2 linked regions of the Caenorhabditis elegans genome follow. The protein of the gene in region 2 purifies or fractionates together with the protein of the main gene of each other region. This does not show direct contact. Each region holds a gene or a part of one and is shown on either strand. Other genes may lie near its edges.

The links.
Region 1: the proteins of Y37F4.1 (region 2) and Y59A8B.12 fractionate together in Caenorhabditis elegans (co-fractionation; one large-scale study listed by BioGRID). This does not show direct contact.

Annotation. Positions count from the first base shown.
Region 1 is NC_003283.11:18,085,171-18,087,973, reverse strand, and holds Y59A8B.12 (MATH domain-containing protein), read left to right. Parts: upstream 1-1,749; 5' UTR 1,750-1,755; coding exon 1,756-1,880; intron 1,881-1,926; coding exon 1,927-2,158; 3' UTR 2,159-2,265; downstream 2,266-2,803. Other genes in the region: slr-2 (Synthetic with Lin-35/Rb), read right to left, coding at 330-453, 502-605, 651-766, 812-841.
Region 2 is NC_003279.8:10,856,219-10,861,315, forward strand, and holds Y37F4.1 (BAR domain-containing protein), read left to right. Parts: upstream 1-1,868; 5' UTR 1,869-2,427; intron 2,428-2,590; 5' UTR 2,591-2,773; intron 2,774-3,293; 5' UTR 3,294-3,329; coding exon 3,330-3,401; intron 3,402-3,462; coding exon 3,463-3,741; intron 3,742-4,028; coding exon 4,029-4,167; intron 4,168-4,214; coding exon 4,215-4,401; intron 4,402-4,442; coding exon 4,443-4,551; 3' UTR 4,552-4,580; downstream 4,581-5,097. Other genes in the region: Y37F4.2 (Sec-independent protein translocase protein TatA), read left to right, coding at 1,302-1,402; Y37F4.5 (START domain-containing protein), read right to left, coding at 5,041-5,097.

The sequences.
Region 1 (2,803 bases), on a different chromosome or scaffold from region 2:
CGGTTTTTTCATTTTTTTCACCTAAAATTTCGAATTTTCTTCAGTTTCCCGCCAAAAATAGAAAAAAAATAATATGAATTTTGCCATTTTAAGCTGAATTTCCCGTCGGAAACGGGAAAAATTGCAGATTTTATCGACTTTTCAGCCATTTTTTCACCGAATCTCGGCTTTTCCGCGAAAAAAAAAGGGAAAATTGATGAAACTCCTGGGTTTTACGTGTAAAATCAGTGCTTTCTCGAATTTTTTGGGTGAAAATTGGCCGAATTTTTCAATTTCCCATGAGCTTTGAGCCATTTTTCATCGATTTTTCCAGGTTTCCGTCCACTTACTGGACATGCTGCTGATATCCAGCAGGTTCCATGTACGCATCATCACAATAGGGACACCGATATCCCCATTCAGCTTTTGGAGTGTGATTTCGGAGTTTATGACGGTGTAGAGTCATTTGGGAGGCTGAAAAATCAATTTTTAGGCAGTTTTTTCGCGAATTTCCGCCAAAACCTGCAGCATAAACGCAATGTTCACATTGAAATGGCCGTGATTTGTTGTGAATATTCATATGCTCTGTATAACTCCGTTTTGACGATAATTCCTTCCGGCAAACTCTGAAAAAATTGAAAAAAATTCGATTTTTTCCAGAAATTTCTCACCCGCAGGTCCAAGTCTGCTTCATTGTCCTTCCATTCGAAGTTTGTCGGAATTTTTGAGTCGTCGGAAGTGCCAAATTCGATGGTCCCGGCTTCATGATGAGATGTTGCCAGTTTTCCTGAATTTCTGGATTATTTACGGAAATTCCCAGGTTCCGACTCACTTTACTGACGAAATGCTCACTTTTCGACATTTCCGGTGGTCTGAAAATCAAGAAAATCGATTTTTTCATCAAAAAACTCGAAAAAACATTGGAAAAATGAGAAAAATCCAGAAAAAATGACGAAAAACCGAGGAAAATAGGCGAAAAATTCAATGTCTCGAAAATAATGCAAGTGCGCTCCATTGGACTCGAAACGGTGAAATGCGCGCGAAATTCGAATTGGAAGAAAAATTTCGGTGGATTTCAGAGGTTTTCAGAGGTTTCAAGCTACCAAGAAAAAAAAATACACTTTGAACATTAGAAAATGTGTGGGAATTTGAAAAATAATTGAAAATCACTTTAGAAGCCCGAAAATTAAAGAAAATCGTCAAGAAAGTGGATTTTAACGAACAAATGACGAAGAAATCTTGAGAATTTCAATTTTTACGTATCATTTCAGTATTAATGTCGATTAATAAACATTTTTTGCCCAATAAAGTCAATTTCCAAGTTTCCAGCGAATAATCTCTGAAAATGCACAATAGGAAAACACAGAAAATATATAAAATTTGTCGTTTTTATTCATATTTTACAATAATCTTCAAAATTAGATGAATTATTCAATAAAACACGCTAAAGTCAAGCAGATATTCCTGCAAATTAAATTCAAATTCAAATTTCCCGCAGTTTTTTCAAAAGTACGCAGTACACCGCGACGCAAAAATGCACAAATCATCATTTTTTCGAATTCGGCGGCGCATTTTGAAAAAAAAGTCTTTTTTGTCCGTTTTTCAGCGAATTTTTTGCTTTTTCCATAGTTTTTTGCTTTTAATTTGAAAATCTACGCTAAATTCTAGTAAAAACTGTGCAATTTGCCACTTTTCCCCCCCTGAAAACCAACATTTTTGAGGTTTTTTCACCTTTTCTCCCAAAACTCGAGTAAAAATTTGAATTTTTCAGCAAAAATGGCCGATAATGGGAACGAGGAGGACCGAAACGGCTACATCATCAACCGAACTCGATTTGCCGCCGATTTTCACAACAGAAATGAAGATTTATCGGAATGGGAAGAGATGCGAGGCATCGAATGGTACTTTTTATGCCAGAAAACTCCCTGAAAACCTTAATTTTTCCAGGGATCTCATTCTTCACAGCGACGGAGGCCAACTTTACACACAGCTGGTCACTCGTTCTCGGCTACAATACGAAATCCCATGCAAATTCCTGCTGGAAGCTCAATATGGACAAGTAAAAGTCGGAGAAAACTTTGATGTGACAGTTTCTTCACGGAATCATACATTCGGAATGCGAATTGACCAACCTGCTGACAATGGAGCCATCAAGATTACTGCTTATATTGATTTCTGAATTTCCACTTGAATTTATGCAATTTGTGATATATTTTTAATTGTAACTATGTGTATACTTTGAATTAATTTCTTATTCTGTCGATTATCAGTGAAATATTGAATTTTAACCAATTTTATGATTATTTTCTCAAGTTTTCCGTAAAGGAAATCAAATATTTCGAAATAAATTCTGTTGGAGTACTGTAGTCGGCGAAGTACGCAATATCAAGTGTTTGCGTACTCGGCATTCTAATTGACGAGCTTCTGGCTCATTTTTAGATTTTCTTGGTTGTTTTTCACTTAAAAGTAGAGATTAACGTTTAAAGTGCGATTTTTTTGCTAATTTCTGCTGAAAAATAGAGTGTTATAACAAAATGTTTCTTTTCGTATGATTTTTCTCTTATTCTTTTCAATTTTCTGGCAATTTCCCTTGGTAAGAACATTTTCGCCAGAAAAATGACCGATAATTTGGAAGAAAAAATGAATTCGTTGAAAATGTAAGAATTTTACGGTTTAAATTGCCACATCTACTGATAAATTGAGTGGACTGAAATTATGAGAATTTGACGGATTTTCAGTGAATTTAACTAAGAAAAAATACACTTTCTCGAATTCAAACCTAAAACTTTTTTTTCAGCTCCAACACGGCCTCTCTTCATTTCAA
Region 2 (5,097 bases):
TGAGATTTGAGATGTTTCTGCCTTCTTCCTATATTATACTGTAGGAGTACTGTATGTGATAAACGGTAGGGTACTGTAGGTGGTAAACGGTAGGTGTACTGTAATTTTTTGTTCAAAAACTTTTTTTTTCCCTCTCATAACTTTGCCGTCGTTTGAGCTATTCTGATTCTGAGCCAAATATATGAAACCTTGAAGATTTCTTAAGCGAGAGACGAAAAAAATTTTGAAAATCGAGTCATACATCACAGAGATAATCGACCGAATAGAAAAATAATGCCTTTTTTGATTTTTGATTTTTCAACTTTGAGCGTTTGTTAATTGGTTTGTTTAAGTTTAATTTTAATTCTGTTTTTTTTAATAGACTCAGAATTTGACGCTGAATTCAAATATGTAAGATTTTTTTCCAGCTTTAAAAATGAAAAAGTTATGAAAAAAAACTAACATTTCATCTCCTCATCAAAGTTTTCGAAATATCTTTTATGTTTTTACATTTTCTTTTTAAAATTGAAAAATCTTTTCAGCATATTTCTTTCATCTTAGAGAAACTGAAAATTCAGCGCCCAGGGCGCTAAATAATTATTCAAAATTTTTAAATTAGAAACAACTCCTTAGCATATTCCATCAATCTTAGAAATAGTTCAAATCAGCGACGAAGGCGCTGAATAAGTCTTCAAAGTTTTAAATTAGAAACAACTCCTTAGTATGTTTCTTTATTTCAGAAACTTTGAAAAATTCAGCGCCGAAGGCGCTGATAACTCTTAGGAATTTTTGAATTTAGAACAACTCCTTAGAATATTTTTCTAATCTTAGAGAAGATTCAACTTAGCGCCCAAATAATTTTTAAGAATATTTCAATGTGAAACAACTCCTTAGAATATTTCTTTAATCTTAGAGGAACTGAAAACTAAAGCGCCGGAGCCGCTAAATGATTTTTCAAAATATTAAATTAGAAACAAATCTTTGGAATATATTTTGAATTTCAAGGTGAACACACTTAACCCCAACACAGGTTTGAGGCAAAGCCGAGAACCTGCGCCAGCTACCTTGTTGATACTTTAGAGCGAAATAACCCTATCCCCACTCCCGAAGGGATAGCGCACTTTGTGCGCTAGTCTTAAAAATTTTTTTTTTAATTGAAGGTTTACAAACAAATTTGAACTTTTAAAAAGCTTTGCTATGTAGGAAAAAGGATACTCAATTCAAGAAATGGTATGTAGAAAAATCGATTTAAAAAAAGTTTTTTGATTTTTGATTTTTAATTTTAAAAGTTTAGTCCCAATAATTCAATAAAGTTTTTCCAGAAATAGAGCAAATTCGAAAAATAGCTGAGCTAATGGGCAATCCAACGGAACCGGACGAAGTTTCGGATGAAAAAGACGATAGTTCTGAATCAGACTACTAGTTGCTGAAAAAATAATTTATAAGTTTATTTTAGTCACATTGTTGATAGTTATAAATATTTTTTTGAAATAAAAAAAACCAAAAATGTGTTTTTTGCACTGAAAATGTTGCGTTGGCTCAGTTGCAGGGTAAACCCATCAATTCATAACTTCAGCAAGAAGTCCAAATTGTGTTAAGTTCGAGATCCCTTTAGAAAGCAATCTTGCACTTATTTTACTTTTTCTTAAATCTACAGTTCAAATTATTAAACAAAAATATCTGAAATCAAGAAAAGTTTATCTTCACGGATGCTGAAAGTTTATAGACTTGTGGAAGTGTTCTATGATCACTTCTCATGTTGCACTGAGTGGACTTTGGAGACGTGCATAAAGCGCATGACTCTAACGCCCACGCGGCCTCTGAGCAGGGAGCGTCACGCCCTCACGAGTATATAAGCCGACTAGAGAATAACATCCTCAGTCGAGAAAGACCTTGCCTGCTGGCGCCGGACGAAAGTAAGACTCTCGTCGTCTGGCACAGCAACGACTCAATAAATGCTTTAGCACACAATCAAAGTGTTTTTGCATGATGTTTAACCATAAGCTGTGGCACCGGTTTATGACCGTTAACAGACTCCTCCAGTATATAAGGTTGTCCAAACAACTTAATTTTTCATATTTTGTGCAACACTATCTTGCTGAAATGAAAGAAACCGGCCCGTGTTGTTACATTCTGCTCATTTTAATTTTTCCGCCAATCGCCGTCTACGTGAAAGAGGAAAGATGCTCTCTGTCAGTTTGGCTCAACCTTTGTTTCTGCATCCTCTGCTGGTTTCCGGGGGTGCTTCATGCTATAGTCGTCTGTTTCTGCTTGAATTATTTATTTTATTTACTTACTATCAAGAAATGAATTCTTGAGATTAATTTATTTAGAAGAATATAATACTGAATTACAATTAAAGAGAAGAAAAGGGGAAGATAGCGGTCTACATCTAGAAAGGAAGCATTGGTATTATATAATATAATATAAAAGAAGGAACTTATATAGGTCTGTTTTTAATCGAATTATAATGATATTGGGGTTGGCGTGAATCATATGAATAGGAAAAGAAGGGAAACGTTTTGGTTTGAATCATAAGGATCAAATATCATATTCAAAGAGGGAAAGATTTGACACTTACATACAATTAGATTAATTTTTCCATGTACAGATTATCTCAGACCACAGGATATGTAGTTGCTGACTAACATTTCACTGCTAATGTGTAAGCGGCCACTGATTGAATATTGTGGGAGAATTAAAATTTGGACTCTGAATGAAATTGCTTCATAATAAAGCAAAAAGTTATCCAAATTTCTATATTTATCATGTTTTTGGATACTGTAGTTAAAAGGTATAAACGCTTTATATTATATTTTAGTTTTCAAAATACATATATAGGGAAAGCCTCATGCAAATTTGTCTAGAAAAATGATTTGAAATTGTTCAAGAAGTATGAAAATGTTAAAAAGCGTACAGTTAAACAAATTTAAGATTTTGGAATTTGTCAATCAGTAGGTTTATATTAATCTTAAAAATGATAAAATCTGCAAACCCGGATTTTAAAATAATATAATAAAAAAATAATAAAAATTTTAAATAATATAATACATAAAACTATAGAACAATTTCCAGAGAACTGTTTAGATTTTTTGTTGAATAGAAAGTTTCCACAGAAAATTTCAAAAACCGCCTTTGGAGCAATTTAACTGGTAAAACACGGAGCTAATAGTAAGCAAAAATTTCAAATTTTTTCACAAAATTTCAATCACAAATATTTTCTAAAAAATGTTAAAAATAAAACAAAAAATTACTAATTTAAATTGCTTTGTTACGTGACACATTTTATGATGACAAACATACTTGTTTATCAGACATGAAATCTCAATCTCAGTTATTTTATATTTTTAATGGCAAACAAGAAGAGTACGAGTAGCTGCTATGAAAAGCCAATCGCTCAGAAATTATTTTATGGATTAGCTGTAAGTTTTTGGATGCCTCCGAAACCGAAATCCGAAACCGAAAAAAAAAGAGAGTTTTCAGGACCATCCAAATCACGGTGTATTTTCGTCGATTCTGAAGAAAAAGAATCGCTTGTTTTCGATGACTGATGACGTGAAGAAGCTTTGCAATCAAGTTGAAGCTTATAAAGAAGCCGCAGATCGACTTCATCAGGCACTGATTCAAATGTTCGTTGAGAATCAGGAACTTATGAAAGCTGATACGAATTATCAGTACGCTGGGCAGTATCTAAAGACGTATCAGGCGATAAATCAGAAAGGAAGAAAGTTGGGTACGAAGGTTGACCCCAAAGAAATGGATGTGAGTTTAGTTGCAGAATTGATCAGAAAAGTGACGCGACATTCAGTTTCTAGAGCGAATCCTGTTGAAAATCGAGGAAGTTGGAACGACTTTTTTGCACCTAAGAAATTTGGTATATTTTCTAGGCTTGGATTTTTAGGCTTAACAATTTAGGCTAAGGGCTTTTAAATGTTAAAATGTAGGCTTAGGCTTTTCAAATAAACCATTTAAGCCCAGGTAATCAGGCTTAGGCTCCCCAATTTTTTGGCTTATGGAATGGCACCTGATAATAAGGACACAAATTTCAGAGCTTAGAACCGGCTATCCAAACCTTGCTCAATCTGGATTCCATACAAGCAAAGCAAGTCCAAAGGCATCTGGAAAACTTGTCGGCGTTGACAAAATTCATTGGCGTCGACTATTGGGAGTACGCAAGGCTTCGAAAGAGTAAGAATAAAAGGGTCTATAATATGAATCTAAATAAAAAATTTCAGTTTATTGGCTCTCGCTGGAAACCTACGACGACGCAATCAGTCAGCAGAATAAGGAGCGAACGGAGCAAGCCGAACTCGCGGCGGGAAATGCTCAGACATGGAGGAATGAGTGCAGACAGAAGGTTATTGACTTTATCAATAAGTCGATTAATGAGCAGAAGGGGAAACACGCGGATGCAGTTTTGAAGTAAGTTTTGGAACTACTCCCCGAAAAAAAAAAATTTTAAGGTTTCGTGACGATTCAATTCTCTTCCACAAATCCATTGCTGAAGCTATCCCAATATTTGATGATAGAGCACTGCCAAAGAGTAAAGAAAAGCCATTGAAATCCAAATGAAACTTGTCCGAATAAAGAATTATGTGATTTTTATTGCTTGCAACTTCAAATGTGTTATATTTGATTTTAGTCATCAGTTTACAGCCACATCAGCCACAAGGCACCCCTGATTCCACCAAAAGGTGCGCGGCGATTGCCGACGGGTAATTCTACAATTTCAGGCAGAGATGTGTTTTCCCAATATTTTTCATTAAATTTTAGTGAAAAGATGTAGAAACTATGTGATCTCTCCCATAATAACGCAATTGCCGCGCAACCCGGATTCTATCCCTCTCCATCGCCTCAACATTCGCCCGCTATTTCACTTTTTTCGAATGGCATTTTGGAAACGTTTTTTGAATAGCTAAGGTTGCTATGGGGTGGCTCATCACGTCCCACACAACACCCCTAGCTTTAACAATAAATTTACGCTGAAAACAGAACAGAAATGAATCACATTTTATTCTCTCAAGTGCTATAGTCTACTTCAGTGCTTCAACCTTCTCGACATTATTTCTCCTTTTTTCCATCTTTCTTCTTATCCAATTTGTTTGACTTGCAAGCGAC